3 linked regions of the Pelodiscus sinensis genome follow. The protein of the gene in region 1 binds, or shares a complex with, the protein of each later gene. Links are inferred from orthologs where the notes say so. Each region holds a gene or a part of one and is shown in the gene's direction. Other genes may lie near its edges.

Region 1 (9,877 bases):
AACACATATGAAAAGGACAAATCACATTTCAGAACAGCTTCTGTTCTGAAATGTTCTGAAATGTGATTTGTCCATTTCATATGTGTTCATTTTTTTTTAATTGTATCCTTTGGTATATATGGTTGTGACTATTTTCTTCCACTATTTGATCTGAGGAAGTGGGTCTGGCCCACGAAAGCTCATCATCTAATAAACCATCTTGTTAGTCTTTAAAGTGCTACATAGTCCTGTATTTTATATTCAGGGAATAATTAAGAGACATATAGGCTTTGCATTTATTAACCTTTTTCAGAATGTGGTTCAGAGACTACCATTTATTCACCAGTTTACCTAGTCTCACATGAATAGTTCCATTGACCTTCACAGAGCATAGTGATGTGCTTAAAATTAAGCACATATATAAGTATTTGAAAAATCAGGGCTTGTGCTGGAACAGGACTCTGTCTTGAGCAGGGAAATATGCTTCAAGCACCAGGATCCAGAATGCCTCCTGATGCCAAACATACATTTATTGGCTATGGTGTTAAAGCTAGCAAGTGGGTTGATTAACACTTTGCTTATTTATGCCAAGACAGAGAGATCCCAGAATAGTCTACGAAGTGAAATGTAGCTTTTGACAATATAAAACCTGCCAAAAGCAAGATATATTAATATCTTGTCCTGGTACAAGCAGTGCCTTCCCACCTCTTGGTACCTGGAATATGGTAAACCAGAGATAAGGTAGAGGACAGCAAGTTAAGATATTGGTATGAATTGGTGGGATGGATCTTAGGTAACACATAAAGTGCTAAATAGAGGTAGTATTGGGGAAGTATCTTTACTGGATAAAGTGAACATACTATGAGATAAAAATTGCTTCCCAAACAGAGAGGGTATGTAAACGTCCTTTTCCTATTGAACAATCTTGCTTTATGCAGTAAACTGGCTGAGATTAGCGATTTGATCTCTTCAATGTTTTAGAAGAGAGGGGAAAGGGAGCAAGTTTAGGCAAACAAAATTAAACATGGGGATGCAAACACCACTGCGACCGCCTTTCTCCCCCTGCCCAAAAAAACCCCTCCAAACAAACAACCACCACCCTGCAGCTGTTTGTGGAAGATTATTTAAGCAGCTTCAGTAGAAATGTATTTTTGGGATTCTGTTGTGTAGCTTGACTAATAATTGTGCTGATTTTTTTCTTTGTAGTAAGAGACTAGATTGTTGGAAACTGAAGTCACTTGACTAGCTCTATCATTTGACACATTTCGTCATAACAGAAAGAAAAAAATTGTCACTTTTGGTTTTCTTTTAAATCAGTAAACGAAGAGATTATCATACTATGGCCACAGCCATTTACAATTGTGTTATGACTTTTTATTAAATATTTTTGTTTAAAAAGGCCACATTTTTAGCTGAGAGCTCTTGCTGTGAGTCTGCAAATTGTGCATGTATGAAGTTATTCATGCAAAACCTGCATTTACATGTAACTCCCTATCAAATGATTTTGCTGCTTTTAAATGCATGTTCTATCCGGGATAGCATTTACCATATTAATTCTCTTGCCATACCCAGCATCTTTCTATATGAATTCCAATGGTTGAATGCTGTAAATTTGTGGTATCTAGCTCATACTGAAATATTCATAATTTTAAAAGTAGTTTGTTAACAGGAACTTTGTTTTTCATTCTTCACTCTCCCAATTAAGATTGGAAATTAGTAGGGTCTGTAAATGATAAAAAAAGAAGTAATTAAAAGAATAAATATCAGTTTTAAAAATAAAGCGCTTTACTAAGAACTATTTTAATCTTCCAAGCAATGGAGAGATTGTATGTTTTCTACATATAGGAATATTAATATTTTATCATGATTAAGCACAATGAACAAGGTGAACATTTGAAAATGTATAAAAATAGCTACGTTTATGTGGTGACATAGCTCAGTTGTCAGCGTAAAACTAATGCATCTAACAAAATGAGCTCAGGGTATTAATTCCAGATCCCAAAATATAAAGCAGTGCCTTTTTTTACTTATCTCTACGAAGTCTATTCCTGTCACTTGGATTGAAATACATGGTAGATATTTTATATGTGATCTTTCATCCATGTTTAACTTGCTCAAGTCAAAAATAAGGTTATCAAGAGCTGAGCCACAGAAGGAAGAGACTAGCCAGCTCTGAAAGCCTCAGCCCCAGCCAGACTCCCAGGGTTAGCGTGCTCCCTGCTATGGAGAAGGGAGCCTTAGAGCCCGAGGCTCTAATTGTGTTTTATTGAAGTTTTGCCAAATATGCAACACATTTAACAAAATGGTTTGGTCTCGTGACTCATCCTTTACTGAAAATTTATGAGTAGCCCTACTCATAAGTTGCTTAGGCTTCTCTTTGATTTAGCTGCTTTTGAAAATTCTACCTAAAACAACTACTCATATGCTTAAAATTAAGTATATAGATTGCAAGATTGGGGCCCATGTGGGAACACAACATGTAACAGTACTTACGTCAAAACAATCTGAATATCACAACTTTAAATTGTAGTAATGTTCTATTAATATGGGTCACCATATAACTAGTCCTATTTTGGCTTCTGTAGCTCATACTGAATTTTGACTGGAGGTCAGAAGGAAGCAGTTTTCCATACTGTGAGAGCTTTTGAGATTTTGAAAACTTTTACTGTCCCAAATTGGGATGAAAATTCAAAATCTGATTCTCATGAACCAAAAAATTCATACCAGGTCAACTGAAACATTTACTTTTTATTTTGACTTTTTAAAACTATACAGAAACTTAAATTTCTAAACAAAAAGTTATTTTAATTGAAAAATTAAATAGTTTCAAATTTCAAAACTAATTTCATTTTTTCCCCAAAAATGGTAAATTTGTCTAAACCAACCATCTCCTTACAAAATGTTTTACATGGTCAGCATTTTCTGATGGCAAAAACATTTTGCTGAAGTTATACTTCCAGCCTGCCTTCATTAAATTGTAATATTCTGTAGTCAATGCTAGAATGACACAAAGATTTTTGTATTTTAAATTATTTTAATTTGAGCTCTTTATCAAACTAAATGGAATATTTTCAAGTACGATTTTTTCAGTAGGATTACTTTGCATATAAATTCAAAAGATTGTTTTTAAAGGTTGATATGTATTAGCCAACTATTACAATAAAAATTGTTTATTTCTGTACATTAACTGTCTTCCAGTGGCATTCTTTACTATAACTTGGTCTACACAAAAATATATTGGAAGTGTAAATGCTAAAAAGTGTAATGCAATAATAGCAATCAAACTAAAAATAAAACACCTACTTTAGTTTGAAAGGAAAATCCAATTTACGGTATTGATATAAAATTATCAATAAGGTGAGCCAAAACAACATACAGAGACTCCGGATGAGCTCCAACCACCTTCATCTGCACCTTTTGCAGAACCCCACAACAACCAACTACCCCTTGCACCTGGATCCCCCACACAACCTTGTTACCCTACACCTGGATCCTGCTGGCCTGACCTGTCACCTGGTGCTGAGGGACAGGATCCTGGGGTGTTTCTGGAACATGCCTGTCCCTTGGTGTGTGTGGGGTGGAGTGGAGGGGGGGGTGCAGCAGAGTGATCTGTGCAGCCAATGGCCTGTGCTCCCCACTGCCATGCCAGAATAGGGTTACCAGGTGTCCAGTTTACAACCAGCAAGTCTGGTTAAACGTCTAGTTATCTGCAGTAACTGGCCTCTGCTTCCTAGGGAGGACAGAAGAGCAGCAGGTGCTGTTGGAGCCAGCACTCCGGAATGGCTCCAGAGGAAAGAGGCAGTGGCAACTCCCTGTCCTCCACCCTGCCCAATTTCATTTGGGGTCTCTCAGAAGTGGGCCTCTCTCTCAGAGGCTACTGAAGCCAGACTGAAAGATTTCAGGGCACCAGAAGTCCAGGGGTGTGTGACGAAGAGAAGGGGCTGAGCCAGACTCCCTGCCTGCTCTGCTCTCAGAACCTTTGCATGCCAGGGGTGCATCTGCATGATGTTCCCACTCCAAGTGCCAATTCTGCAGCTATTAGCTGGGAACCACAGCCACTAGTAGTTGAGGGCAGTGCATGGTGCCACCTGCCCCCCCCCCCCCCACCAACTGGGAGCAACATAAGGTACCACCTGGCCAGAACCTGCACCCTTCACTACTTCCAGCACCCCAACCCCCTTCCTGCCCCCCAAATCCCCTCAACGCCACAACCTCCTGATTCAGCCAGTACCTCACACCTGAAACCCCTTCTCCAGCCCTGAACCCAGACCCTCATCTCCTGCACCCTAACCCGCTACCCCAGGCTTCAGCCCAGCTCTCCTTCCCGCACTGCGAGCCCCCGGGCTTCCGCTCAGAGCCCCTTCATACTGCAACCTTTTCCCGTGGCCTGGTGAGGGGGGCGAAACGAGAAATGAAGGGACGGGCGGAGTAAATGGCCCCTCACAGGAAAGGGGGCAGGGGCAGGGTGTTTGGGTTTGTGGGATTAGACCGTTGTTGGCAACCCTACAACCAGCCCCCCCCCGAGTCAGTGGGCCCTACAGCCCTGGGCAGCTAGCTGGGGGAGGCTGGAGAGGCGCTGGCGGGCACGCTGCAGGCAGGCGCCGCCCGTGTATCTACTGCGCCTGCAGCTCCCTGTCTGCTCCGCGCAAGCCGCCCCGCCCTTCGCAGCCGCCCCACACTTTCCAGCGCTAGGCAGCAAGGCGAGCCCCTGCCCCCCTCCTCCGGCGCCCCCGTGCACCCGCGAAGGGAGCCGAGCGCCGCCCGCTCCGCGTCCCTGCCCCGCTCTCCCCCTCCCGGCTGCCGGGCCCGTCGCTCTCCCGTGACGTCCCGAGGGCGGCGCCGCCGCGCTCTTGCCGGAGCCGGAGAGCGGGACGCGCGGCGGTCGCTGCTGTCGCGGCCCTGAGAGGCGCCTGGGGCTGCTGAGCGCGGGGTAAGGGCTGGGGCGGGGGCGTCACGCGCGGGGAGCTGCGGGCTGCCTCGGGTGTTGCAGGGTGGGGCCTGCCCCCGTTGGGGGAGGGGGCCAGTCACGGGGGGAGCGTGGTCTGGCTCGGCTCACAGTCACTGTTGGGGGGGGGGGGGGGCTGCACATCTTCGGGTGGTGGCCGCGGAGCCGGGCTGGGCTGGGCGCTGCTGTTCTTACGGTTGTGTGGTCTGCTCCTGCTTTTAGCGACTGGTACAATCGCCCCAGCTCTGTCTACACTAGCTCTCAAACTGTGACCGTGGCTGGAATAATTTTGCGCTCACACCTTTTTGACACTGTAAATGGAGCTGAGCTTGCTGCTGAAAGTTACCTTTGTTAATCAAGTTGTTGGGGGGGGGGGGTCTTTCCTGACAGGTTAGTATTGACAAGACACTGGGAGGTGCTAGTGCTTGACAGAGAAACACTCTCTTCATGTGATGACCTGGATTTGTTCATGTACCATGGCAGGGCTTTTTCTCTATGTGTAAAACAGGAGTGGTTAATAAGTGGCCCACAGGCTGCAAGCTGTTCATTAGGGATAGCCCCTGGGGGGGCTGCCAATGCTTTATTTACTTGTGCATCTGCAAGTATGGCTGCTTGCAGCTCCCATTGGCTTCAGATTGCCGTTCCCGTACAATGGGAATTGCCAGAAGCAGTATAGACCAAGACACCTCTTCCCACAGCTCCCATTGACCACGGACTGTCATTTCCAAACAGTGGGCACTGTAAGTGGCCCTAATCTTTGGACATGCAAGTAAATAGTGTCTGGTGGTCCACCAGGGGCTAACCTTGGTGAAAGGTGTGAGATCCAAATTAGGGTGTTTACGGGGATGTTAAATGGCAAGCATGAGGCTTAGTGGATTGCTTACTGGTTAACCAGCCCTTGCCAGTGAACTCTAGTGGCAACCAACCGCACCATGCTGAGCCAGCTCTGGAGGGGCCATCATCAAGCCAGGAGGTGGAACCCCCTGGCCATAGTGAAACCAGTGGTAGGACCTCATACCTGTTGCAGCAGGTCAGGCAGCAGTTGCTTATATAAATGGTTAAAACAGTTAAGCAGTAGGTAGGTGTTCTTGTATATGAAACAGTTTATGAAGTAGTACTTTGATTAGTTTGTGTATGTAACACTGTATGTGTTACAGTAACTGTATTTTAAATTTAAAGTTTATGAACACATACTTACTGAGGTTCTACTTGTGTAGTTAGTTACTAATGTCTTTTTCCCCCTTTGTATGTTCCAGGCCTTGAAATGGAATCAAAGACCAAAAATAAAGTTGTATATGCAATAAATTGACTTTACTGCAGCACCACTCATTTGTGTTGAAATGGAGAGCATTACACAGCTGTTTGGTGACTTGTGTGAAGCACACATGACAGGTTTGTCATGGAAGGTCCATCTAGGCGCACAGAAGATCAGCAAGAAAAGGGCTAAGCAAAATCTAAAAAAGATTGCATATAATGCCCTGTTCATGAACCTTTTTCAGGATGAGACCCGTAAAGTACAGTCAAACATTTCCAGACTTCCAGTGAAAAACAAAATTTTAATGCTGTCCTTCAATTTGAGGGTTGGTGGAATGGGTGCTCAAGCAGATAGGCTGGAGAAACTTGTGGAGGAATTGGAAACATCTAATTGTTTACCATTTACTGAAGTAAATTCTGTTCTGGATCTTCTTGTACAACTTGTAGGAACTGGTCCCCCTCAGCTTCTACCACAAAAAAAGGACTATTTTCTGAACAACAAGTATGTTGGGAGAAATGTTAAATATCAGGGATATGATTATTATGATGTGAGTGTATTTGAAGCTGATATACAGTCTTTAATTACAAATGAAGAATATCAGTTTAATGATACAATTCAAAAGACACTTCAGATAATGGAGGCTGCACCTGGCACTGGACTTCCTGCCATTGGATTATTTTCACAGAACTACCCTGTTGGTGACAAGTTTGAAAAAGAAACACGTGTCTCACTCTTTGGTGCTCTTGTCCATAGCCGTACATATGATATGGACATTAGGTTGGATCTGCCACCAGTACCTGACAATGCGGATTTGTCTGGACTTGCAATTAAAGTACGGGGTCTATTTATTTTCACTATACTTATTATTTTATTTCAGAATATAAACATTTCAAGTATTCTTTTTTTGAAATGTGTGTATATATATATATATAGAGAGAGAGAGAGAGAGAGAGAAATTTCTGGTAGTTGTATCAACATTACAAAGGTGTGGATTTAAAATATTTTTTCTTTTTCACAAAATAAGTGACACAGGTCTTGATCCCTCAAATTCTTATGATTAATGTGTCTCTTACCATTTCCACTAAGACTAGTCATATGCATAAACACATGCCTGATTTTGCAGGATCAGGGCCCAATCATGTAAAACTCTGAACATCTCAACCATGGAACTCTCACTGACTTTGTTATGAATTTGTTGTGCAACATACATGTAATAGGTATATGTAATAGATTTGACCTATTGGATGCAGGGTTGCTCCTAAGAATATTTAGCACTGTGTTTTCCAACCTGAGAGTAGGAGTACAGGCATGTAAAGAAAAAGAGTTGCCTCCTTTTACCCAGTATCTGACTGATCCCTTTCACTACAATGGATACTCACAGCTACAGGTAAAGTGGCAATGTAGCTCTTTAAGTGTGCCAGTCTTCCTTTCAAGTTCCTATCTTAAACCCAAATGAAAGCTGAATCTGCAATTTCTTTGTATAGGGCTGTAGATTCAGGGAGCAGCCTCCTACTCTATGCCCCTATTCCCACCACACTCAGCTCAATAGGCAAGAGCATACAGAGCCCCAGGGAAGGGAATTGCTACTGGACCAACTTCACACTAAGTAGCATGTAGCCTTTTCTATTACATGGGATAATTACAGGGGCAGGGGAAAAAAAACTACACAGCAACAGTCCACAAGAGGAAAAAAAGAAAGACTGAAAATTCAAAAAGCAAAAGATACCCATCCATAGAAACACATAGCAAAATTTTAGTTTGTATAAATAATGAAGCTCAAGTGCTTAAAATGAACATCAATAATTATTTGAGACCAACATCTAAATGCCATTAGCATAATTTTCTCAGTAAATGTTGCATCTGTGTGTAGAGTTTGAACTCTCATGATTATTTACAGGTTCCTCAAAGTATAGATCAATCAGAAGATGAGGGATTCCAATCAGCATCCAATCTTACTCCTGATTCTCAGTCAGAACCGAGCATGACTCCAGACATAGATCTCTGGGATGCTGTACTTACTTATGGACCCAGCAAACGAAGATGCTGGGAAAGAATTGGATGGTATGTGTCTGATGTTAAGATGCAAAATAACTGCATGCTTATGTATGATTTATAAGTATTTTAGTTGTAAGTGACTTTAATTGGTATATTCCTTGTTTGTTTATTCTGTCTGATTTGGGACATGGAGTTCAATATATTTGAACAATGGAGCTGTATTTTTGCCAGATGACAGTACAGTCAAGTTTAAGATAGTCAAGACAGAAGCAGACTGTAAAGAACTTCAAAAAGATCTCACCAAACTGAGTGATTGGGCAACAAAATGGCAAATGAAATTTAATGTGGATAAGTGTAAAGTAATGCACATTGGAAAAAATAACCTCAAGTATACGTACAGTATGATGGGGGCTAATTTGGCTACGACAAATCAGGAAAGAGATCTTGGTGTTATCGTAGATAGTTCTCTGAAAACTTCCACACAGTGTGCAGCAGTGGTCAAAAAGGCAAATAGGATGTTAGGAATTATTAAGAAAGGGATAGAAAATAAGACACAGAATATCTTATTCTGTATAAAACTATGACTATGGTATAAAACTATGGTATGCCCACATCTTGAATATTGTGTACAGATATGGTCTCCTCACCTCAAAAAAGATATTTTGGCCTTAGAAAGGGTTCAGAAAAGGACAACTAAAATGATTAGGGGTTTGGAACGGGTCCCATATGAAAAGAGGTTAAAGCGACTGGGACTTTTCAGTTTAGAAAAGAGGAGACTGAGGGGGGATATGATAGAGGTACAGGCAGTCCCCGGGTTACGTACAAGATAGGGACTGTAGGTTTGTTCTTAAGTTGAATCTGTATGTAAGTCGGAACTGGCGTCAGCCGCTGCTGAAACTGATCAGTTTCAACTGCAGCTGAATGTGGATGCCAGTTCTGACTTACATACAGATTCAGCTTAAGAAACCCAGTCGTCCCCAAGTCAGCTGCTGCTGAAACTGATCAGCGGCTGATTCCAGGAAGCCTGGGGCAGAGCAACTCTGCCTCGGGCTTCCTGTAGTCAGCTGCTGGTCAGTTTCAGCAGCGGCTGACTTGGGGACGCCTGGGGCAGAGCAGCTGGGGTGCTGCTGGGTTGCTCCAGTAGCGCGGCTCCTCAGCGCTACTGGAGCAACCCAGCAGCACCCCAGCTGCTCTGCCCCAGGCGTCCTGATTCAGCCGCTGCTAAAACTGACCAGCAGCGGCTGAATCAGGACGCCTGGGGCAGAGCAGCTGGGGTGCTGCCGGGTTGGTCCGGAGCGGCGCTGCGGGACCAACCCGGCAGCCCCCAGCTGCTCTACCCCAGGGGTAGGCAAGAAAAGCCTGGTCTGCTGGGAGGGTGGCACTAGCTGCATCCTCCCCCCCCCCCAGCAGACCAGGGGGACAGGAGCAATGCCTTAGAGCATGCCCGCAGCGGGACAACCCGGGCGCACTTGGGCTGTCCCGCTGCGGGCGTGCTCCGTGGCTTTGCTCCTATCCCCCTAGTCTGCTGGGGGGGTCCAGCAAAGCCGCTGGACCCCCCCCAGCAGACCAGGGGGACAGGAGCAAAGCCGCCCAGGCGGCGGGAGTCCCGCTGCCTGGGCGGCTTTGCTTGGGTGTCCCTGGTCTGGTGGGGGGGTCCAGCAGACCAGGGAGACCGGGAGAAGCTTTTCTCTCCCCAGAGGACA
Region 2 (9,877 bases), about 230 Mb from region 1:
TCTACTCTGTACCCTATCCCCACAAAGCAGATTACAAACAGCTACAGATACTTGAGTGTGAACTTCCTACTCTACTGTTCTTAAAAGGGCAATATGCTTGAAGTGGGGTCAGTGTACTTAAAGGGACAATACACATTTCTGTCTAACACACAGGCACACTGTGCATCTCTGTCTCTCTCACACTCGGGGGCTACGTCTACACTGGCCCCTTTTCCGAAAGGGGCATGCTAATTTCACAGGTCGTAATAGGGAAATCCGCGGGGGATTTAAATATCCCCCGCGGCATTTAAATAAAAATGTCCGCCGCTTTTTTCCGGCTTTTAGAAAAGCCGGAAAAGAGCGTCTACACTGACCCCGATCCTCCGGAAAAAAGCCCTTTTCCGGAGGATCTCTTATTCCTACTTTGAAGTAAGGAATAAGAGATCCTCCGGAAAAGGGCTTTTTTCCGGAGGATCGGGGCCAGTGTAGACGCTCTTTTCCGGCTTTTCTAAAAGCCGGAAAAAAGCGGCGGACATTTTTATTTAAATGCCGTGGGGGATATTTAAATCCCCCGCGGATTTCCCTATTACGACCTGTGAAATTAGCATGCCCCTTTCGGAAAAGGGGCCAGTGTAGATGTAGCCAAAGTGTGTGTGCACATGTCTCTCTCTCTCTCTCACACACACGCACACACACACACACGAAACAGTCCTCCTGGGCACTTTGGAAAGTTGGCAACTGTACAGCCCTGGAGGAGAGTAAAATAGCTTTGATTCATCTTCATGTTCATAGAAGCGTATACAGCCACTGCCATGCATCTTTTGTGTTTCTTACCTCAGCCCCTGCACCCTTTTAGAATGTGAGGCTACCTTAACAATTAATAATCCTTGAGGGCTCAGCAAAATGCTTGTTAATCATTTAGTAGGAAGTCATTCTTGTAGGAAATATTCCATTCCTTACTCCATCACCTCAATCATGTTTCACAATAATCATTCCTATGTACAGTATTCAATTGTTTAAAATGTATATGGAATATGTCTATATTGTCTTTTATCCCTGAAAAAAAGTTTCCCTAGAACCTAACTCTCCCTATTGACATTAATTTTATGGGGAAATTGGATTTGCTTCACATAATTTCGCTTACAGCAGCAGGGAATACAACTACAACATTACGCAAGAAGTTACTGCATCTTTAGAAGTCACACATTGGAACCTTCTTTGCATTTTGTCAAATCTGCAAGTGAAAATATTCTTTAAATGTCCAATATACGCTGGGTTCTCATCCAAGACTACTATAATATGTATGGCAAAATGATGGTAAAATAGAGCAGGAGACATACCGTATTTTCCGGCGTATAAGACGACCCCCTAATTTTTTAGTTAAAAGATAGGGTTTCGTCTTATACCCCAGCGCCCCTCCGCCTCCTTTGCTCCTGGTGTCCCTGGTCTGCTGGAGACGGTCCCCAGCAGACCAGGGACACCGGGAGCAAAGCCTCTGAGGATGCCTGGCAGCGGGACAGCCCAGGCGCGCCTGGGCTGCCCCGCCGCCGGAGCCCCTCCGCGGCTTTGCAAAGCCTCGGGGGAAGCCGCCGCCGGAGCCCCTCCGCGGCTTTGCAAAGCCTCGGGGGAAGCCGGCGGGGGGGGGGGGTATCCCAGGCGCGCCTGGGCTGCCCCGCCGCCGGAGCCCCTCCGAGGCTTTGCAAAGCCTTGGGGGAAGCCGGCGGCGGGGCAGCCCAGGCGTGCCTGGGATGCCCTGCCGCCTGTATAACCGGCATATAAGACGACCCCAGATTTTTGGGGGATTTTTTTAACATCAAAAGTCATCTTGTACGCCGGTATATACGGTACAATTATCCTGAAAGGAGTTCAGTCACACATGTAATTTGTTTAATAGCCACCATCAGCATGGAAGCATGGCCTCTGGAATGGCAGCCAAAGCATGAAGGGGTATGCCAATATTTAGCACAGTGGTTTTCAAACTACAGGTCGGGACCAGTACTGTGTTGTGGAATGTTGAGCACTGGGTTTCTTTGCTACAGAGTGATCAAGTGACCAGCAGTGATGCTAAGGCAGGCTCCTTGCCTCTCCTAACTGCAGACTGCACTGTACCGCAGCAGGCCCAGCTCCTATGTGGAGGGGAAAGAAAGCACACAGGCCTCTGTATACTGCTCCGAGTATTAGCTCCACACTCCCCTCAGCTGGGAGCCATCTTTTAATGGGGCACAGCATGGTCTGCAGTGCCAGGAGAGGCAGGAAGCCTGTGTTAGCACTCCGCCTGAACCACTGACCAGGAGCTATTCAAGGTAAGCCCCTTTTGCACCAGCCCTGACCCCCTCAAAAGCTGGAACCCCTTCCTACACTTCAAAGCTCTCATCCTTAGCCCCACAGCCCACACTCCCATCCCAGTGGTGTTACACCAGTTCTGAAGCAGCAGTCACTATGAAGGCTACTGCTATAGCAAACTAGCCACACTCAACTGGACAAATAGCCTCTAGTAGCTAGTGTGTTGGACACCACGGCTTTAGTGAAATTATGCTGGGTCATGGGCATCAAACATTTTCTGCAACCAGGTCATGAGAAAAAAAAGTTTAAAAACTACTGGTTTAGCATATTTACCTTGCAATGCCAGCTACAAAAGCAGCATGTGAACTCCAATAAGAAGTGGAAAGCATTAAGTTGTGTCTTAGGAATGAGTGGATTTGTAGGCTCTAAAATTTTAAATTGTTTCATTTTTAGCACAATTATGTAAAAAAGAAGTCTGCATTTGTGAATTACGCTTTCAGGAGAAAGATATTGCACTGCAGTACTTACATGAGGTGAACTGGAAAATACTATTTCTTTTATTTATCATTTTCACAAGGCAAATATTGTAATAAAATAATATAAACAATGAATGCCATACACTTTGTATTCTGCATACCCAAAATCAATATATTTGAAATTGTAGAAGACATGCAAAATGCTTGATACATTCCAATTTGTATTCTATTCTTTAAGTATGTGATTATGATAATTAATCAGAACAAAGCCAAGAGAAAGGGCAGAGACAGAAAGGAAAGACCAACTGGCAATAATGCAGCTCTTATTTTACTGAAGTATTTCTGAAAGCATTAAAAACTTGCAGGTAGCATTCAAAAAGTTGCTTCACACAGAGAAGATAATCTTAAAATTATCTTGTAATGTAAGTGAAATACTTTATGATTAAGTAAAAGAGAGAGACAAGACACTTGAAAGAAGGTATGGTATTTCAGAAAAAGGAAAATCAGAAAAGTGGACAGAGGAGGAAGTAACAGGAAAGTAGAGCAAGTCAGACAGCAGGAATTGAGAAGCAGAAGTTTGAGATAGCCAGGCAGGTACTCATCTGTTACAGAAAACTTATTAAAACCTTTGAATGATTTAACAACTATGTATAAGTTAGAGAATAATGTTTCTTTACCCTAAGAAAGAGGAAAATTTGACTTTCCTACCAGGGATTTACTCCGGTTCTGTAGGCATGTGATTTCCTGGAAGGACCTTTCCTGGCCAGTATATCCGAAGCCCCCATTGACGGTCACCCCTTGTTTACTTACGTTTATTTACCGGCATTTTGAGGCTAGAACTGGGGCAAAATAAATGCCCTGGAGTTTATGACCATAAAGGACCATTCGATCATCAAGCCCGAGGTCTCTCGTCTCACAACAACCCTCTGCTCCCCTCCCTCCGCCCCGCGGATAGCCCGGGCTCTAGCGGGAAACTCACAGCCTTATCCGCTCCGCCACCGGCTCCCTGGGAAAGCACCAGCGTGGCGGAGCCCGCCAGGCGAGCCGCGAGCGCCAGCAGAGGCACCGCGCGCCCCGCAAGCTCGGGGCCCGAGTTAACGACAGGCTCGGTGCTCGCGGGATTCGGCCTGTCACAGCCGCGGGTCCCTGTGCAGCCGCCGTTGGGCCGGGCAGCGCCGGGCACCCCTCGCCGCTTTCATGCCTCACTCCGGCGTCTGCATGGCTAAACTCCTGCTTCCTCTCGCGTCCGCGCTCAGCCTGTGCTGGGGGGGGAGGACGACAAGCGAGGAAGCGCTTTAACTGCCACGCCCCCTTTCACCGCGGCTGCCCAATCGTCGCGCGCCGGCGCTCAAGCCCAGCCAACCGCGGCTCGCCTTCACTCTCGAACCGACCAATCAGCACCGGTCCGCTTCACAAATTCGAACGGGTACCTCCTCCCCCCTTACATCTCTCCAGTTGTAAGGGAGACTGAGCTATTCAAAACATCACGGCGGGCGGAGTCAGTCAAGCGGGGCGGGGCTTCAGGGTGACAGAGCAGGCCAATCAAGGGCGAGCAGCCGCGCGCGCGGAGAGGTTTCGCTGCTGGCGTGCCCGTGTGTGAATGAGAATGAGAAGGAGCCAGTTTCCTTCCGGGTTAGAGGTCTCGCGCCTAGTCTCCTGTCGCTATGGCGAGCAGCGCAGCCAATTTGAACGCGGTGAGAGAAACGATGGACGGTGAGTCCGGGGGGGCTGCGGTCGCTTCAGGTGCCCGGTTGCACACGGGCCTAATACAGGGCGCCCCGCTTCCTATCGCGCGCTCTGTGGCGGCGGCGCCCGGAGTGTAGGGATGTTGCCGGAGCCTGCAATTGAGGCCCTGCCCGGGGTCGCGGCGCGGGGGCATTGCCCGGGCCGGGGAGGAAGCGCGGCAGTGGCTCCTGCGGGCTGCTCCGAGAACGCCACGTTCGGGGAAAAAACAGCGCGAAAGTGACTTTTCCTCGGGCGAGCCGGGTGCTCCGGAGAGCGCGGCATTTCTCCCCGGGAGGGCTCCCCGGGTTTGACTCCCTCTCTTAAATGAAGTGACGCTCTCGGCTACGTGTGTGCAACTTGGGCGAGTGGGTACAACCACTAGTCTATTATGGGATGGGCAATAATTCTAGAAGCGGGGGCCACGTCTCAGATTTTTGAAATGGCCCTTGGCTGCCGCGGGCGGAAGGGGTGGGGCCATGACAATCCAATACGTGTGGGATCTGACGATTTTTTTTTTCAAAGTCACTTCTCAATGTAGAACTGGGCGTTAATGTTGCACGAAAGCGAACATTTGTGATAAATTACTTTCCCCTTTCCAGTTGTAAGATGTAGCAAAATAATTGAATATTCTTTCCTTTATTTATTGTCTTCCTGTTTGTAATGTCCACAAATTAAACATGGAAGTACATTTCCTTAATCAAATAGATCTCTAAACTTTTTTTTTTTGAGGGATGGGGAACAGGATGTAAATATTGACATGAAAACAGAAAACTGTAAAGTACCAAGATTTTTTATTATTGTTATGATGAAAATATCTGTTTGGCGGTGTAGTATGCATAGGCTCAGTGCTATGGACGAGGGATGTTAGATACGTGTAATAGAACAGGCGACTAACCACATGAACTCTTAGTGATTAAGTCGACTATTCTGTCGTCCCCAGGGCAGGGCCAGACTTCCAGGACTGCTGCCTCTGTATTTAAACTGGCTTCTTTCGCGAAGCCGGTCTGCGAGGAGAGCCAGTTTAAAAAACAGCTCTCCACACAGAATGGCTGCCTGTTATCTCATGCAGCTGTCTCTGATACAGAGACAGCAATGAGGGGTGGCAGCAGCCCTTGTCCACGGTGGGTCCGAGCTCCCAATGGACAGGCTGCTGAAACTATGGAACACTACTTTCCCATTTTAAAAAAAATCCATTAGAACAAAATAATCAGAAATTGTGTATGCCCAGGAAATACGTACTAAAAGCTGATTTTAAAAGTTAAATGTAGTGTTCTGACTTCAAAATATACTGCAGTATTTTCCAGTTTTTCATCACAGATTGCAGCCACATAAGTTAGTCAAGGAGAACGTGTCAATAGAACTCAAAATTCAAAAGGTGTCAACAGTTGGCAGGTTTCATTGACTTTGGGGTCTTCTGGGTCCTTTGCACCTCTGAAAATTAGGCCACCTTCCAGGTTCCTATTTATGGATATAGACTCCTAAAAATGAGTGCCTAAAGTTGAACATAATGGCCTTTTTATATGTGTGGGTGATCCTATTTATTAAAGCTTTTTTTTATTTAAAAAGCCTTATTTTTTTCAATATGCAATAAATTTGTACCACAGAAAAACACTTTATGTATTTATGAGCTATATATCATGTCAAGGTTAGTACATTAAGTATCAGGCCAGCCATTTGCTGACTTTGCAGAAAGTTGGAAGCAGTGAAATAGCATTTCTATGTCCCTTTTTGGAAATCTTTGTTTCTTTGTGATTATAGAAACATGAGTAATATTTTTTTAATATAAATAAATTAGTGTTGTCAGGGAGTCTTGCTGAAAACTAAACCTTGAATTGCTCTATAATAATTAGAGCTTTGAAACGGAGTACAGTTTGGACCTCCCCGTTCCTGCACCTTTGGGACCTAATCAGTCCCAAATGAGAGAATTTGCCGGAGCAGAGGAAGTCCCCTGCTACCAGCTCCCCAGATCCCATTCCATCCGTACTGCTGGCCCTAGCCACACTGCTGCAGCCCAGTTTGTCCCGGCCCCACTACTGAGGCTGCTGTTTCTCCAGCCCCACTATTGTGGATGCCATATCTCTAGCCCCTGCCCACTACCTCGACTGCCACATCCCCAGCTCTGCTACTTGGGCTGCAGCAGCGTTGCCAGCTTTGTCCACATATTCACTCTGCTGACACCATTATTGGGCCTAACCAAGTGAGTTATAAAATCAAGAATACATATTCCTGCGCCTCCAGAAATATAATCTATGCTATCATGTGCCGAAAGTGTCCGTCTGCTATGTACATTGGACAAACGTCTCAGACACTTCGCCAAAGAATCAATGCCCACAAAACAGACATTAGACAGGATCACAAAGAAAAAACAGTTGCTTGCCATTTCAACCAGAAAGGACACTGTCTCAATGACCTAATCACCTGCATCCTACTTCAGAAGACTTTCAAATCTGCACTTGAAAGGGAATCCTCTGAACTGGCATTCATGATAAAATTCGACACTCTCCGCAGGGGGCTGAACAAAGACCCCAGCTATCTTACCCATTACAAAGATAGCTTCCCCAATTATCACCTCTAATACCATTAACTCACAGGCATTCACCTTCCTTCCCTCCCTCCCCCTCCGCCCCCTCCCCCCGCATACCCCTTCTGTTCTGAAATGTGATTTGTCCTTTTCATATGTGTTCATTTTTTTTAATTGTATCCTTTGGTATATATGGTTGAGACTATTTATTTTCTTCCATTATTTGATCTGAGGAAGTGGGTCTGGCCCACGAAAGCTCATCATCTAATAAACCATCTTGTTAGTCTTTAAAGTGCTACATAGTCCTGTATTTTGTTTCAGCTACACCAGACTAACACGGCTACATTTCTATCAGTGTAATACAAAATGATATTGTTATAATCATTCATTTGTTCCTGTTTTCTTTCCTACCTTCCACTTAATGAGCAAAGATTTGAATTATTATTACAATTTTAGAATGTTTTAAAATTACAGACTACAAACTAAATATTACTGTAGTCTGTGGACATGTTAACTATTTTAACAGGAATAATAAACAAATAACATACTGATTCAGTGAATGGAGAATCACAGAGTAGAGAATGTAAATGTGTATCTGAGTTTGAAGACTGAGACTGCTGACTCACATAGGGAAGGTGATTATAAATGTTACAGTTGGGATTCAAACGAGGGGATGGAGGGAAATGTGCAGTGTTTCCATTGTCACCATCCACAGAGTTTCAGCTTTTGAAAATCCCACTCTTAAAAAATAAATGATTTTAATAATCTTATTTAAACTTTTATCTAACAAAGCAATTTTAATTTTTTTAAAATTGTCGCAGTTCTGCTTGAAATTTCAAGAATATTAAACACTGGTTTGGATATGGAAACCCTGTCTATATGTGTACGGTTGTGTGAGCAAGGTATAAACCCAGAGGCCTTATCTTCAGTAATTAAAGAACTACGCAAGGCTACAGAAGCACTAAAGGTAAGGCAGTTTATGAAAAACATGCAGCTGTCTTTTTTAAATTAATGCAAATCGAATTTCAGATTACTGCATTTTCAACTTGTCATATGGAATTTTACATTTCCCTTGCATTTCAAATAAAATAAAATAATCTTAGGAAATAAATCCTGTTGCCTTCTTTCTTTATTGCTAATTGCATTTGGTCCAAAGCATGGAATCTGCAGATAGCAAACCAGTAGTGTAGACAAAGCCTTTTTGTTGTTGTTTACAACTTGACAAGTTGGTGTAACCACATGACTGTGCATGGGTCTGTAGTGAAACATGCCCTAATCTGAACACCACCTGCATGAGTCAGTGCAAAAAGTCCAGACTACAGGTCCTTGACAGAATTATATACTTGGCATCCTTGTGTCATATTTTGTCAAGTGATGGATAAATTAATAAAAGAAGGATAGTGAGAGTGAGAAATTGTTAAAATGAAAATATTCAATAAAAGAGCCATTTAAGCAGCGTATTAAGATTAAATATCACGTGATTTATTTTCTACAAATTATTTAAACATTATTAACAAAATAAAAGTAGTTGCAAGAAATAACCATAAGTGTTATTCCTGATTTTTAGCTCCACAGTATCTATTCTCAGTTTATTATAATGAATTATACTTATCTTTCTAGGCTGCTGAAAATATGACAAGTTGACTTCATGGGAGAGGATCTTTTTGATGAGAGAAATGTCAAGCTAACAGAGGTTTGAAGACTGGCTGCTATTCAGAAATATAGAATCAAGTTCCTGTATATTCAGGTTTCAAAAAAAAATCTGTAATCTTTTTTTTATAAAAGGATGAAATATAAAAGTGTAAGGCTTTATAGAAAAGTGAAAAGGCATATGACTTATCTAATATTATTCATTGTTTGTTTTGTCCTTGTTTTACAGACTGTAGTTTTTAGCATTATTATGTATTCCTTATAAACCTGAGCTTTACTTTTATAAACAGTCTGTCAAATATTGCTTGTTGACTGACTAAATCTACAAGTTTAGTGAAATTTAGTCACTTAATCTATATGATAGAGAGAACGTATTCAGAGACTTATTATAAACTCTTAATTTTAAATGGCTAATGCATAATGGACTGAGAAGTTTATTTTCCATTGGTCTGAAACTTGGCATTCAACTTCAGACACCATTTTGTATGTATAGGCTATAATTTAAATACTTTCTGATTTTTGTTTTTAATCCGAGAGCAGAGAAAAATAATGTGAGCATGTTTCCTTCTTTAATTTAAAAAAAAAATGCTTCATATTTCAAATGGAAACTTATGATTTTGGTAGTTTGTGTTTTTTTATAACTAAATATTTATTTAAAAAAAAAAGATTGTCTGCAAGCAGTTATCATACATTTAAATTAGTGTATAGTTGAATTCCATAATCTCTTACGCATTGTATGGAACATCTTATTGACTTCATTAGTGCTTTAGTTAGATTTATATCCTGGCCATTACAGATCACAAAAATGCTCATGGAATATTTATTATCTTTATCCTAGTCAAAGGATAGAACGGAGATGTCAAACTGATTAAGGAAGGGCCACATTCCGTTTGTATTTATGGTCAGTGAATATAGGACTGTTTACTCCCCTCAATTAGACTATATAGTAACTACATTTTTGGTTATCATTTTAGCATTCATTATCACGCAGAAAGAAAATATACTCACACACAGGAGAACTACAATTTCTCCCCTTTATTTCTCTTTCTATCCTTTTTTCTTCATTTTTCCCTTCAATAATTCCCACTCTTTCCCCCCATTTTATCTATTGAAATAATTAGTGCTGATGAGATTTCATTATGGGGTTTAAATTCATCCCAACCCACATTAATAGAGAACAGATATCACACTTCTGATTTATTGTTTCAGGTTCTCTGCAGACTTGAGAGGATGATGCTGTATT
Region 3 (9,877 bases), on another chromosome or scaffold:
CCCCGATCCTCCGGAAAAAGCGCCCTTTTCCGGAGGATCTTATTCCTACTTCAAATAAGTAGGACTCCCCCAGACGGTCGGAATTACAATCTAGATTTCTATATACAAAGCTTCCGCAACAACGCACAGACTGACATTATTCGCAAACAACAACAAGCGACACACAATCTCAGCCACGCTGAACAACATGCCATCCAGAGTCTCAAAAACAACCTGGACATTATAATCAAACCAGCTGACAAAGGTGGTGCTGTGGTCATTATGAATAAGGCCGATTATAACCAAGAGGCAACCAGACAACTCTCCAACACCACATTTTACAAACCTCTCTCCTCTGATCCTACCTCGGAATACCAAAAGAAATTACTCTGTCTCCTTAAAAGCCTCCCTACAGCTACTCGGGAACAAATCCACACAGAAACACCTTCCGACCCCCGACCAGGATTTTTCTATCTGCTTCCCAAGATCCATAAACCTGGACACCCCGGATGCCCCATCATCTCTGGTATTGGCACACTCACTACTGGTCTATCCAGCTATGTAGACTCTCTCCTCAAACCCTACGCAACCAACACCCCCAGCTATCTCCGAGACACTACTGACTTCCTAAGGAAACTACAAAACATCGATAACCTCCCCAATAACACCATCCTTGCCACCATGGATGTAGAAGCACTATACACCAACATCCCACATGAAGACGGATTACAAGCTATTAGAAACACTATCCCAGAGGACACCACTGCCAACCTGGTAGCAGACCTATGTAACTTCGTTCTCACCCACAATTATTTCCAGTTTGAGAACAACTTATACCTCCAGATCAGCGGCACAGCCATGGGTACACGCATGGCCCCACAGTCTGCTAATATCTTTATGGCTGACCTAGAACAACGTTTCCTCAACTCCCGTCCCCTTTTACCCCTTCTCTACTTACGCTACATCGATGACATCTTTATGATCTGGACGCATGGCCAAGAAACACTGGAGACATTCCACAGAGATTTCAACAACCTACACCCCACCATTAACCTCGGCCTGGACCATTCCACACGAGAGATCCATTTCCTGGACACCACAGTACAAATCAACAATGGAAAATTAGACACCACCCTCTACAGAAAACCCACTGACTCATACAGTTACCTACATGCTTCCAGCTCCCATCCAGCACACACCATACGATCCATCATCTATAGCCAAGCCCTTCGATACAACCGCATCTGCTCAAATTCCACAGACAGAGGCCAGAAACTTCAGGATCTCTACCAAGCATTTATAAACCTCAACTACCCACCTGGAGAAATAAAAAAGCAAATTGAAAGAGCCAAACGAATACCTAGAAACCATCTACTACAAGACAGACCCAAGAAAACCAACAATAGAACACCACTTGTCATCACCTACAGCTCCCAACTTATACCTGTCCAACACATTATCAATAGATTACAGCCTATACTGGAACAGGACACTAAACTCCAAGAAGCTCTGGGAGACAGACCCATAGTCTCCTATAGACAACCACCTAATCTCAAGATGATTCTTACCAACAACCACAGGACATACCACACTAATACCAACCCTGGTACTTTCCCTTGCAACAAAGGGAAAGTTTGTTTGTCCACATATTCACTCTGCTGACACCATTATTGGGCCTAACCAAGTGAGTTACAAGATCAAGAATACATATTCCTGCGCCTCCAGAAATATAATCTATGCTATCATGTGCCGAAAGTGTCCGTCTGCTATGTACATTGGACAAACGTCTCAGACACTTCGCCAAAGAATCAATGCCCACAAAACAGACATTAGACAGGATCACAAAGAAAAAACAGTTGCTTGTCATTTCAACCAGAAAGGACACAGTCTCAATGACCTGCTGACCTGCATCCTACTTCAGAAGACATTCAAATCTGCACTTGAAAGGGAATCCTCTGAACTGGCATTCATGCTAAAATTCGACACTCTCCGCACCGGACTTCACAAAGACCCCGGCTATCTTACACATTACAAAGACAGCTTCCCCAATTATCACCTCTAATTCTATTAACTCACAGACATTTCCCCTTCCCCACCTCTAATATCATTAACTCACTGGCATTCACCTTCCTTTCCCCCCCCCCCAAATCCCCCTTCTGTTCTGTAATGTGATTTGTCCTTTTCATGTGTGTTCATTTTTTTAAAATTGTATCCTTTGGTATATATGGTTGTGACTATTTTCTTCCACTATTTGATCTGAGGAAGTGGGTCTGGCCCACGAAAGCTCATCATCTAATAAACCATCTTGTTAGTCTTTAAAGTGCTACATAGTCCTGTATTTTGTTTCAGCTACAGCTAATTAGTTTGCATCCTCTTCCTGATTGGATGCTCCCTTTCAGTTCCTTTCTATACCATACTAGCACTGCTCCCTTTTTGGGGCAGGGTGTGGTAGGCTTCAGCAGGGGACCTCAGGGTCTGATACATCCAGTCACATTCAACATTCATGATTTTATAAACCTTTCTCATATCCCCTCTTAGTTGTCTCTTTTCTAAGCTGAACAGCTCTAAACCTTTTAGCCTCTTTTTATGTGGAAGCTGTTCCAAACCTTTGATCGTTTTTGTTGCCCTTCTCTAAATCTTTTCCAGTTCCACTATATTTTTTTCAGATAGAACCACCAGAAATGAACCCAATACGCAAGAAATAAATACACTATTGACTTATATAGTGGCATTATATTTTCTGTCTTATTTTCTATCCTTTTCCTCACAGTTCCTACCATGCTGTTAGCCTTTTTGATCACTGGAGCACACTGAGCTGTTTTCTCTTCAGTGACTCTTTTTTGCAAACCCTGATTCCAATTAAGAAAACTGAAAAGACTTAAAACATCAGAATAAGATGATAGCAAATAATTGTCTTTGCACAGAAAACTGTTGATAAACAAAAAGTTGGTCCAGTAAGTGTCCAAGATAACAGAATGGGACTGTATGCCCCAAAGCTGAAGGAGCAGTCTGAGTTTAGGACTAATGTGTTCTTTCTGGTAAAATCTCATTCACCCATAAAATAGAAAATATACTTCTATATTGTGATTCTTTCTAAAATGAACATTTCCTGCCCAATGAGCCTCTATATTTGTGTCAATTAATTGCATGTTTGATATTCAGTGGACTGTCACAATGCATTACAAATCTTAACAGTAATACTCAGTGGGATGCTAGACAACACTTGAAACTTGGATGTAGGCTAGGGTTGTGAAACCTTACAATACACCAAGCAGCAATGGATTTGTAAATCTCAATACTCAGTGTTTGTTTAATCAGATTAATAAGAAAAAAAAGTCTACTGACAGAGAAACAACCCAAACCAAATGAGGAAAAAAAATTACCTGTTAGCTGTTTGGTAGTCAGTTCAGGTCTTAAATTAACTTCAAGTTCCCATGAAAATCATACACATCTTGAGAAAATGAGTGTTGAATCTGAAGAGAGGAAAAACTCAGAGGTAGCATCTTGCTAACTTGTCTTTAAGACAAGTGACTTCTTTCCTGGTACCGACAATAAATGTCTATACATGAAAAATAGTTACTCCCAGCTCTGTAAAACCATCTTCTCCGTCTCCGTGGTTTTGGCTGTAAGCTCTTAGGGAGCAGAGACTGACTTTTATGTAAAATACAGTACAGAGCACACTGCTGGCATTAAATACTTTACTGAAGTTACAGTGTTGTCTTGTAAATGAATTCAGCTAGTAACAGGGTGCGTCTAAACTGGCAAGATTTTGCGCAAAATCTTGCTGCCTGTCTACACTGGCCACGAGTATTTGCGCAAGAACAATGACTTTGTACTGTACCAAATCAGTGGTTCTTGCACAAATACTTTGACGCTCCCGCTCAGGGATAAGCCCTTTTGCACAAGTATTCTTGCGCAAGAGGGCCAGTGTAGACAGGCAAGTTAATTTCTTGCGCAAGAAAGCCCGATGGCTAAAATGGCCATCAGAGCTTTCTTGCGCAAGAGAGCGTCTACACTGGCCCGGATGCTTTTGCGCAAACGCACCTGTGCCAGTGTAGACGCTCTCTTGCGCACATACTTTTAATGTAAAAACTTTTCTGTTAAAAGTATTTGCGCAAAATCCTGCCAGTCTAGAGGCAGCCACAGTGCGTAATGGCAATATTCCAGTTCCTAGGCAGAGACAATTCCCTCAAAACTCCACTCCCTGAGCCTCGCTTCTTGGGTAGAAAAGTGCAGCCCCAGACACTTCCGAAGAGCAGCGCTGCACCGAGCTTCAGCACAAAGACTCCACAGCGGCCCCGCCTCAGGGCAGCGCTGGGCGAGTCTCAGCTCTGCCTCTCGTGCTTACAAATCGCCCCGCCCGCGGAACAGCGCTGCCCCAGGGCCCTTCGGGGGGGGGGGGGATCGCTCCGCGCTCGAGCACTGGCCGGTAACCAGACCCGGGGCCCGCTTCAATCTCTGAGGGGCCGTTTCGGGGCCCGCGCTCAGTCTGTTGGGCGGGGCGGGGCGGGGCCAGGCGAGGTCTGGCTCGGGGCGGGGCCAGGCGAGGTCTGGCTCGGGGCGGGGGCGGGGCCAGGCGAGGTCTGGCTCGGGGCGGGGCCAGGCGAGGTCTGGCTCGGGGCGGGGGCGGGGCCAGGCGAGGTCTGGGTCGGGGCCGGGCGGGGGCGGGGCCAGGCGAGGTCTGGGTCGGGGCCGGGCGGGGCGGGGGCGGGGCCAGGCGAGGTCTGGCTCGGGGCGGGGCGGGGCCAGGCGAGGTCTGGCTCGGGGCGGGGGCGGGGCCAGGCGAGGTCTGGGTCGGGGCCGGGCGGGGCCAGGCGAGGTCTGGCTCGGGGCCGGGGCGGGGCCAGGCGAGGTCTGGGTCGGGGCCGGGCGGGGCGGGGGCGGGGCCAGGCGAGGTCTGGCTCGGGGCGGGGCGGGGCCAGGCGAGGTCTGGCTCGGGGCGGGGGCGGGGCCAGGCGAGGTCTGGCTCGGGGCCGGGCGGGGCGGGGGCGGGGCCAGGCGAGGTCTGGGTCGGGGCCGGGCGGGGCGGGGGCGGGGCCAGGCGAGGTCTGGCTCGGGGCCGGGGCGGAGCCAGGCGAGGTCTGGCTCGGGGCGGGGCGGGGCCAGGCGAGGTCTGGCTCGGGGCCGGGCGGGGGCGGGGCCGGGCGAGGTCTGGCTCGGGGCCGGGGCCAGGCGAGGTCTGGCTCGGGGCGGGGCGGGGCCAGGCGAGGTCTGGCTCGGGGCGGGGTCTGGCTCCGGGCGGGGCGGGGCGGGGCCGCGGGCCCTTTGCGAAGCGGGAACCGAGGCCGCTCCGAGCGAAAGAAAGAGACGGTCCTCGCGCGGCGCAGGGCAGGCGGGGCGCTGCCCCCGGGACGAGAGACCGGGCCCGGGCCGGGGGGCTGCAGAGCACGAGCTGGGCAGGCGACCGGCCCGAGAGCGCCCCCGCACGCCTGGGGCCTCGCTCCCGTCGGGCTGTGCGAGGAGCGGGACTACAGGTCCCAGGGGCCTTTGCGGGAGCAGCCGCTCCCGTCGGGCTGTGCGAGGAGCGGGACTACAGGTCCCAGGGGCCTTTGCGGGAGCCCGCTCCTAGCTGCAGGATGATTCACGAGCTGCTCCTGGCGCTGAGCGGGTACCCCGGGGCTGCCTTCACCTGGAGCAAGAGGAGCGGCCTGCAGGTACGGCTCCCCCCTTCTCCCTGCAGGGGCGGCCCCCCTCTCCCTCCTCTCCCCCTGCAGGGGCGGCCCCCCCTCTCCCTCCTCCTCCGCCCCCCCCCCCTGCAGGGGCGGCCCCCCCCTCTCCCCCCCTGCAGGGGCCCCCCCCCTCCCCCCCTGCAGGGGCGGCCCCCCCTCTCCCCCCCTGCAGGGGCCCCCCCCTCCCCCCCTGCAGGGGCGGCCCCCCCTCTCCCTCCTCCTCCGCCCCTCCCCCTGCAGGGGCGGCCCCCCCCCCTCCCCCCCTGCAGGGACGGCCCCCCCTCTCCCTCCTCCTCCGCCCTCCCCCCCTGCAGGGGCGGCCCCCCCTCTCCCCCCCTGCAGGGGCCCCCCCCCTCCCCCCCTGCAGGGGCGGCCCCCCCTCTCCCTCCTCCTCCGCCCCTCCCCCTGCAGGGGCGGCCCCCCCTCCCCCCTCCTCCCCCCCTGCAGGGGCGGCCCCCCCTCTCCCTCCTCCTCCGCCCCTCCCCCTGCAGGGGCGGCCCCCCCTCCCTCCTCCCTCCCCCCGCAGGTGCGGTCCCCCCCTCCCGCCGGCCCCGCGCTCACCCGGCCCCGCTCCCCGCAGGTGTCCCAGGAGCTACCGTTCCTGCACCCCAGCGAGAGCAGTGTTCTGAGCCGCCTCTGCCGCCTGGGCACCGACTACATCCGCTTCACCGAGTTCATCGAGCAGTACACGGGCCACGTGCAGCAGCAGGTGGGCCGGGGGGCTGCCGGCGGGGCCGGGCCAGCGCTACGCTTCGTGAGCGGCTCTTGCCCAGAGGCGCCCGGCGCAGGCCCCTTCAGCGATGCAGTGACAGCGGTTTGCGGGGGCGGTGCACAGCCCCATTCCACCGTGGCTGCAGCAAGATCTGGCGGGAGAAAGCAGGGCTGTGAGAGGTCCCTTGGGTCACTGTCAGCATGGTCCTCAGCCGGCTGGAGCAGCTCCCTGTCGGCTAGAGGTTGGGGGATGCGCCAGCCCCACAAGGGACCCACCACTCACAGAGGCTGCTCTTTGGGAAGAAAAAAAAAGTGCAGTTTTTTTTTGAAAAAGCGCACTCACATGAGTGCAAATGAACTGCAAAATTTGCAAATCCGCATTTCATTTGAATTTTTTATCTCCTTCATTTGCATTTCTCTTTCGAGAGAGGAATACAGTCTAAACGAACCCCAGGACTTTAAAAGTGTTCAAAAAGAGTTAGATTGATTCATGGAGGTTAGGTCTGTCAATGCTTATTAGCCGGGATGGGTGAGAATGGTGTCCCTAACCTCTGTTTGTCAGAGTCTAGGAATTGGCGACAGAGGAAGGATCACTTGATGATTTTGTTCTGTTTGTTCCCTCTGGGGCACCTGAAGGCCATTGTTGGCGGACAGGATTCTGAGCTAGATGGACCTTTGGTCTGTCTGACCCAGGCTGGTCATTCTTATGTTCTTAGGGATGTCTGTAAAATGGATTAAGATACATTTGTGAACAGTTCACTTCAGCACAATGGAACAGTGAAATTTACAAATGGCCACTGTATTATGCAGTCTTCTATCTCAAGAGTTCCTTATTTGTATATCCAAAGGGACTGAATACAATACTGCTCCATCTTTGACAGCTGACTCATGTCTGATTAACAGTTGATTTTAATGGTACCTTCAGTGAAGGCTAAAACTATAAGGCTACGTCTAGACTGGCATGATTTTCTGGAAATGCTTTTAACGGAAAAGTTTTCCGTTAAAAGCATTTTTGGAACAGAGCGTCTAGATTGGCATGGACGCTTTTCTGCAAAAGCACTTTTTGCAGAAAAGTGTCCATGCCAATCTAGACGCTCTTTTCCGCAAAAAAGCCCCTATCGCCGTTAATGGGTGATGCTTACTGGATAACAGTTAACTGTTACTCAGGAGCAGGCCCCATGGCTGCCCGCTCATATGAGCTGCCAGCCCCATGTAAGGCTGCTGATTCCCAGCCCAGCACAGGGTGCTCCAGCCCACCCGTGTTTACTCAGTTAAGTTTAACCGGTTAACATTTAACCAGTTAACTAATTTAAACAGGATTTTACATCCCTAGCTGAAGACTGAAATTAATAGAAGGTAAGTTCCTAAATATCTCAGGTATCTGGGCCACAGTCCCCAGTTCACTCACCAATGTCCTACGGCTAATGCAAAACTATTTGATTTTTTAGGACCATCATCCTTCCCAGCAGAATCTATGTGGATTACATGGGATTTATTTGCGGGCCTTCTGTACAGGGCTCGATTCAGTGCTGCAGCCCTATCGACAGGCGTTGCTTGACCTGGAGCAGGAGGTAAGGGAGAGAACTGGAAGAACTTGTTCAGTGTTATGAGCTGAAATACCATGCAGTGGAAGCTTGTCTCCAATAACAAATAAGCTAACAAGAAGCAGACGATGGGATGGAATCTTTGATTTCCACTGCGGATATTTTCTAAATTGCTGCTGTGAAGTTCCATTATAACCCACTGGTCAGTGTGTTACATGTCCATTCTTTGCTCCTTCACCCCCTCCCTCCACATGTCTGACCTACAGAGAGTGAAAATGTCTCAGTCCTCAGATCCTCGTCCCTCAGGCCAAGCTGTAGAGACTCATTGTATAGCTGTTAAGGCCCTTGGTTAAATCCATGGTGCATCAACCAAGCTGGTAGGCATCACGTCATCTCTTGTGTAGATTCACTTTGAGTCACTGAAAGTGAATTAAACGGGCTGCATCATAAGTAACAGCCTGCGGGGGGATGTAACTCAAAAGTCTCTCAGCTAAGCATGTTAAATTGCAGTTGTCTGGCTGATTGTGTAGTCGATACCGACTAATTGTGTGATATTTGTAAAGGGCCACTATGCAGAGTCCCGGTGGGGGTAGTTCCTGGGGCCTCTGGGGGCCATCTGCACTGCACCTCTGCATTTTAAGAGCCATGGAGCTCTTACTACATTTAAAATGCAGAGGCACAGCATCCTAGACTAGTGTGAGCTGGCAGCAGCCCCTGGCCGTGGTCAACCTTGGCTACTGTGAACTGGTGCTGCCAGAACAGCCTCCTAATTCCCCCCTCCCCCCCCCCGGATTAAAAGCAGCAGGGTAGGGAGGCAGCACAGCAGAGATGGTGCTGAAGGGAAACCAGCTTTTGAGCTGGCTCCTGCCTCTTCCCCTCCCCCGCCTCCCATACAAAGGCAGCAAGTGGGGTTTGGGGGGAAGGGAGTGAGTAGTCAAGTACTCCGCTTGACTACCCACTAACATCCCTACTCTGGTAAGGTTACTGGGACTTTTTTCCAAAGCATCTGAGGGTTCATTTTGCTCTTTACCTTTTTACACCTAGGTTTAGTGCTATTGATTAGAGACTTATTTTGCTTTGCATTAACTTTTGTTACAGTTCCTGGCTGACCCTCACCTCTCCATTTCTCACATTAACTACTCCCTGGATCAGGTATATTGCATTTGTTGTCACCTTACTATGGGCATATATAACATGCGCAGTGTTGCAGAGCTACCATTGTTACTAGAACTTTATATTCTGAATTGCTGATGTTTGTACACTTAACTTCTGAGCCTTAAAATTGTATTAGTGCCATCTTTTGCCTTAATATATAGGATAGTAGTACATGTAAAAAATAAATTTTCGTTTCCAATTTCCATCTTCGTGCAAAATTGAAATAGCTGATAGTATGTATCACATTTAAGAAATATCAGAAAGCTATAGCCTGCACTTGATTTTTAAACAGCTCTAGCTCTCAGACTACAAACCAGTTTGGTTTTTTTAATGACTTTTTCACCATGGAGCACAACTGTTGGGGTGATGTGCCTACCTGACAGAATCTTCTTGACTGTCAGTTGCGGAGGCAAGCATCACTGCCTTGTCAGGAATGTAAATAGCTCCCCCTTGAACCATCCATCAGTTTCTGTCTGCCTCCAAAAGTCCCATTTACAGTTTAGCTGCAAAACAGGAGGGAAGCCAGTGTGACTCTTCCTATCCTCAAATTGGAGTCTTCTCAATTTATCATCTTGAGCAACTTCAGCAGCAGCTAGAGAGTACTTTCAGCACATTGGCACAACTCTTGTCATCCGTTACAGCCTTAGACAGTGACCAGAGAATCTCGAGATAAGCCTCACCTCTAGTTGTTGACATTAGGGTAAAGTAGCATCACCTTATCCTGGTATAATCATCTCATCTCTATGCAGAAGCCATGGTCTCCCTTCCAAGTATATCCAAAACACGAAGTGGGGCCAGTGAGGTGATAGACTGGTAAAC

The links.
Region 2: the proteins of TUBGCP6 (region 1) and MZT1 are in contact, whole or in part, in a crystal structure (PDB 6M33), measured with the Homo sapiens proteins. The link is inferred for Pelodiscus sinensis from reciprocal best matches to the Homo sapiens genes TUBGCP6 and MZT1. Residues at the interface, in NP_065194.3 of Homo sapiens: Met1, Ala2, Ile4, Leu7, Phe8, Asp10, Leu11, Cys12, Ala14, Leu15, Pro17, Ala33, Leu37, Val40, Ala41, Ala44, Leu45, Asn48, Ile70, Leu73, Lys85, Arg88, Leu89, Leu92, Val93, Glu95, Leu96, Leu104, Leu105, Ser109; in NP_001065243.1 of Homo sapiens: Asn17, Ala20, Val21, Thr24, Val27, Leu28, Glu30, Ile31, Ser32, Ile34, Leu35, Asn36, Thr37, Leu39, Glu42, Thr43, Leu44, Ile46, Cys47, Arg49, Leu50, Cys51, Glu52, Gln53, Ile55, Asn56, Pro57, Glu58, Ala59, Leu60.
Region 3: the proteins of TUBGCP6 (region 1) and TUBGCP4 are in contact, whole or in part, in a cryo-EM structure (PDB 7QJE), measured with the Homo sapiens proteins. The link is inferred for Pelodiscus sinensis from reciprocal best matches to the Homo sapiens genes TUBGCP6 and TUBGCP4. Residues at the interface, in NP_065194.3 of Homo sapiens: Leu312, Thr313, Ala315, Gly316, Arg317, Ala319, Phe320, Phe323, Leu326, His327, Glu349, Pro390, Glu391, Ser392, Ser395, Leu396, Glu399, Tyr403, Ser455, Leu456, Leu457, Thr458, Gly460, Phe461, Lys464, Lys465, Arg468, Arg471, Tyr472, Glu475; in NP_001273343.1 of Homo sapiens: Met1, Ile2, His3, Glu4, Leu6, Leu7, Ser10, Gly11, Tyr12, Pro13, Gly14, Ser15, Ile16, Gln29, Phe31, Pro32, Phe33, Leu34, His35, Pro36, Glu38, Thr56, Ile59, Glu60, Thr63, Val66, Gln67, Gln68, Ile84, Arg87.

What each region holds. Positions count from the first base shown.
Region 1 is NC_134711.1:37,236,157-37,246,033, reverse strand, and holds the start of TUBGCP6 (gamma-tubulin complex component 6), read left to right. Parts: upstream 1-4,594; 5' UTR 4,595-4,909; intron 4,910-6,180; 5' UTR 6,181-6,264; coding exon 6,265-7,011; intron 7,012-8,076; coding exon 8,077-8,240; intron 8,241-9,877. Other genes in the region: polyamine deacetylase HDAC10, read left to right, coding at 1,186-1,196. UniProt on the Homo sapiens protein: Component of the gamma-tubulin ring complex (gTuRC) which mediates microtubule nucleation.
Region 2 is NC_134711.1:269,167,387-269,177,263, forward strand, and holds the start of MZT1 (mitotic-spindle organizing protein 1), read left to right. Parts: upstream 1-4,270; 5' UTR 4,271-4,402; coding exon 4,403-4,451; intron 4,452-7,805; coding exon 7,806-7,951; intron 7,952-8,604; coding exon 8,605-8,628; 3' UTR 8,629-9,877. UniProt on the Homo sapiens protein: Required for the recruitment and the assembly of the gamma-tubulin ring complex (gTuRC) at the centrosome.
Region 3 is NW_027465934.1:450,366-460,242, reverse strand, and holds the start of TUBGCP4 (gamma-tubulin complex component 4), read left to right. Parts: upstream 1-5,182; 5' UTR 5,183-5,555; coding exon 5,556-5,633; intron 5,634-6,228; coding exon 6,229-6,357; intron 6,358-7,807; coding exon 7,808-7,930; intron 7,931-9,001; coding exon 9,002-9,055; intron 9,056-9,877. Other genes in the region: uncharacterized protein LOC142825186, read left to right, coding at 262-1,641. UniProt on the Homo sapiens protein: Component of the gamma-tubulin ring complex (gTuRC) which mediates microtubule nucleation.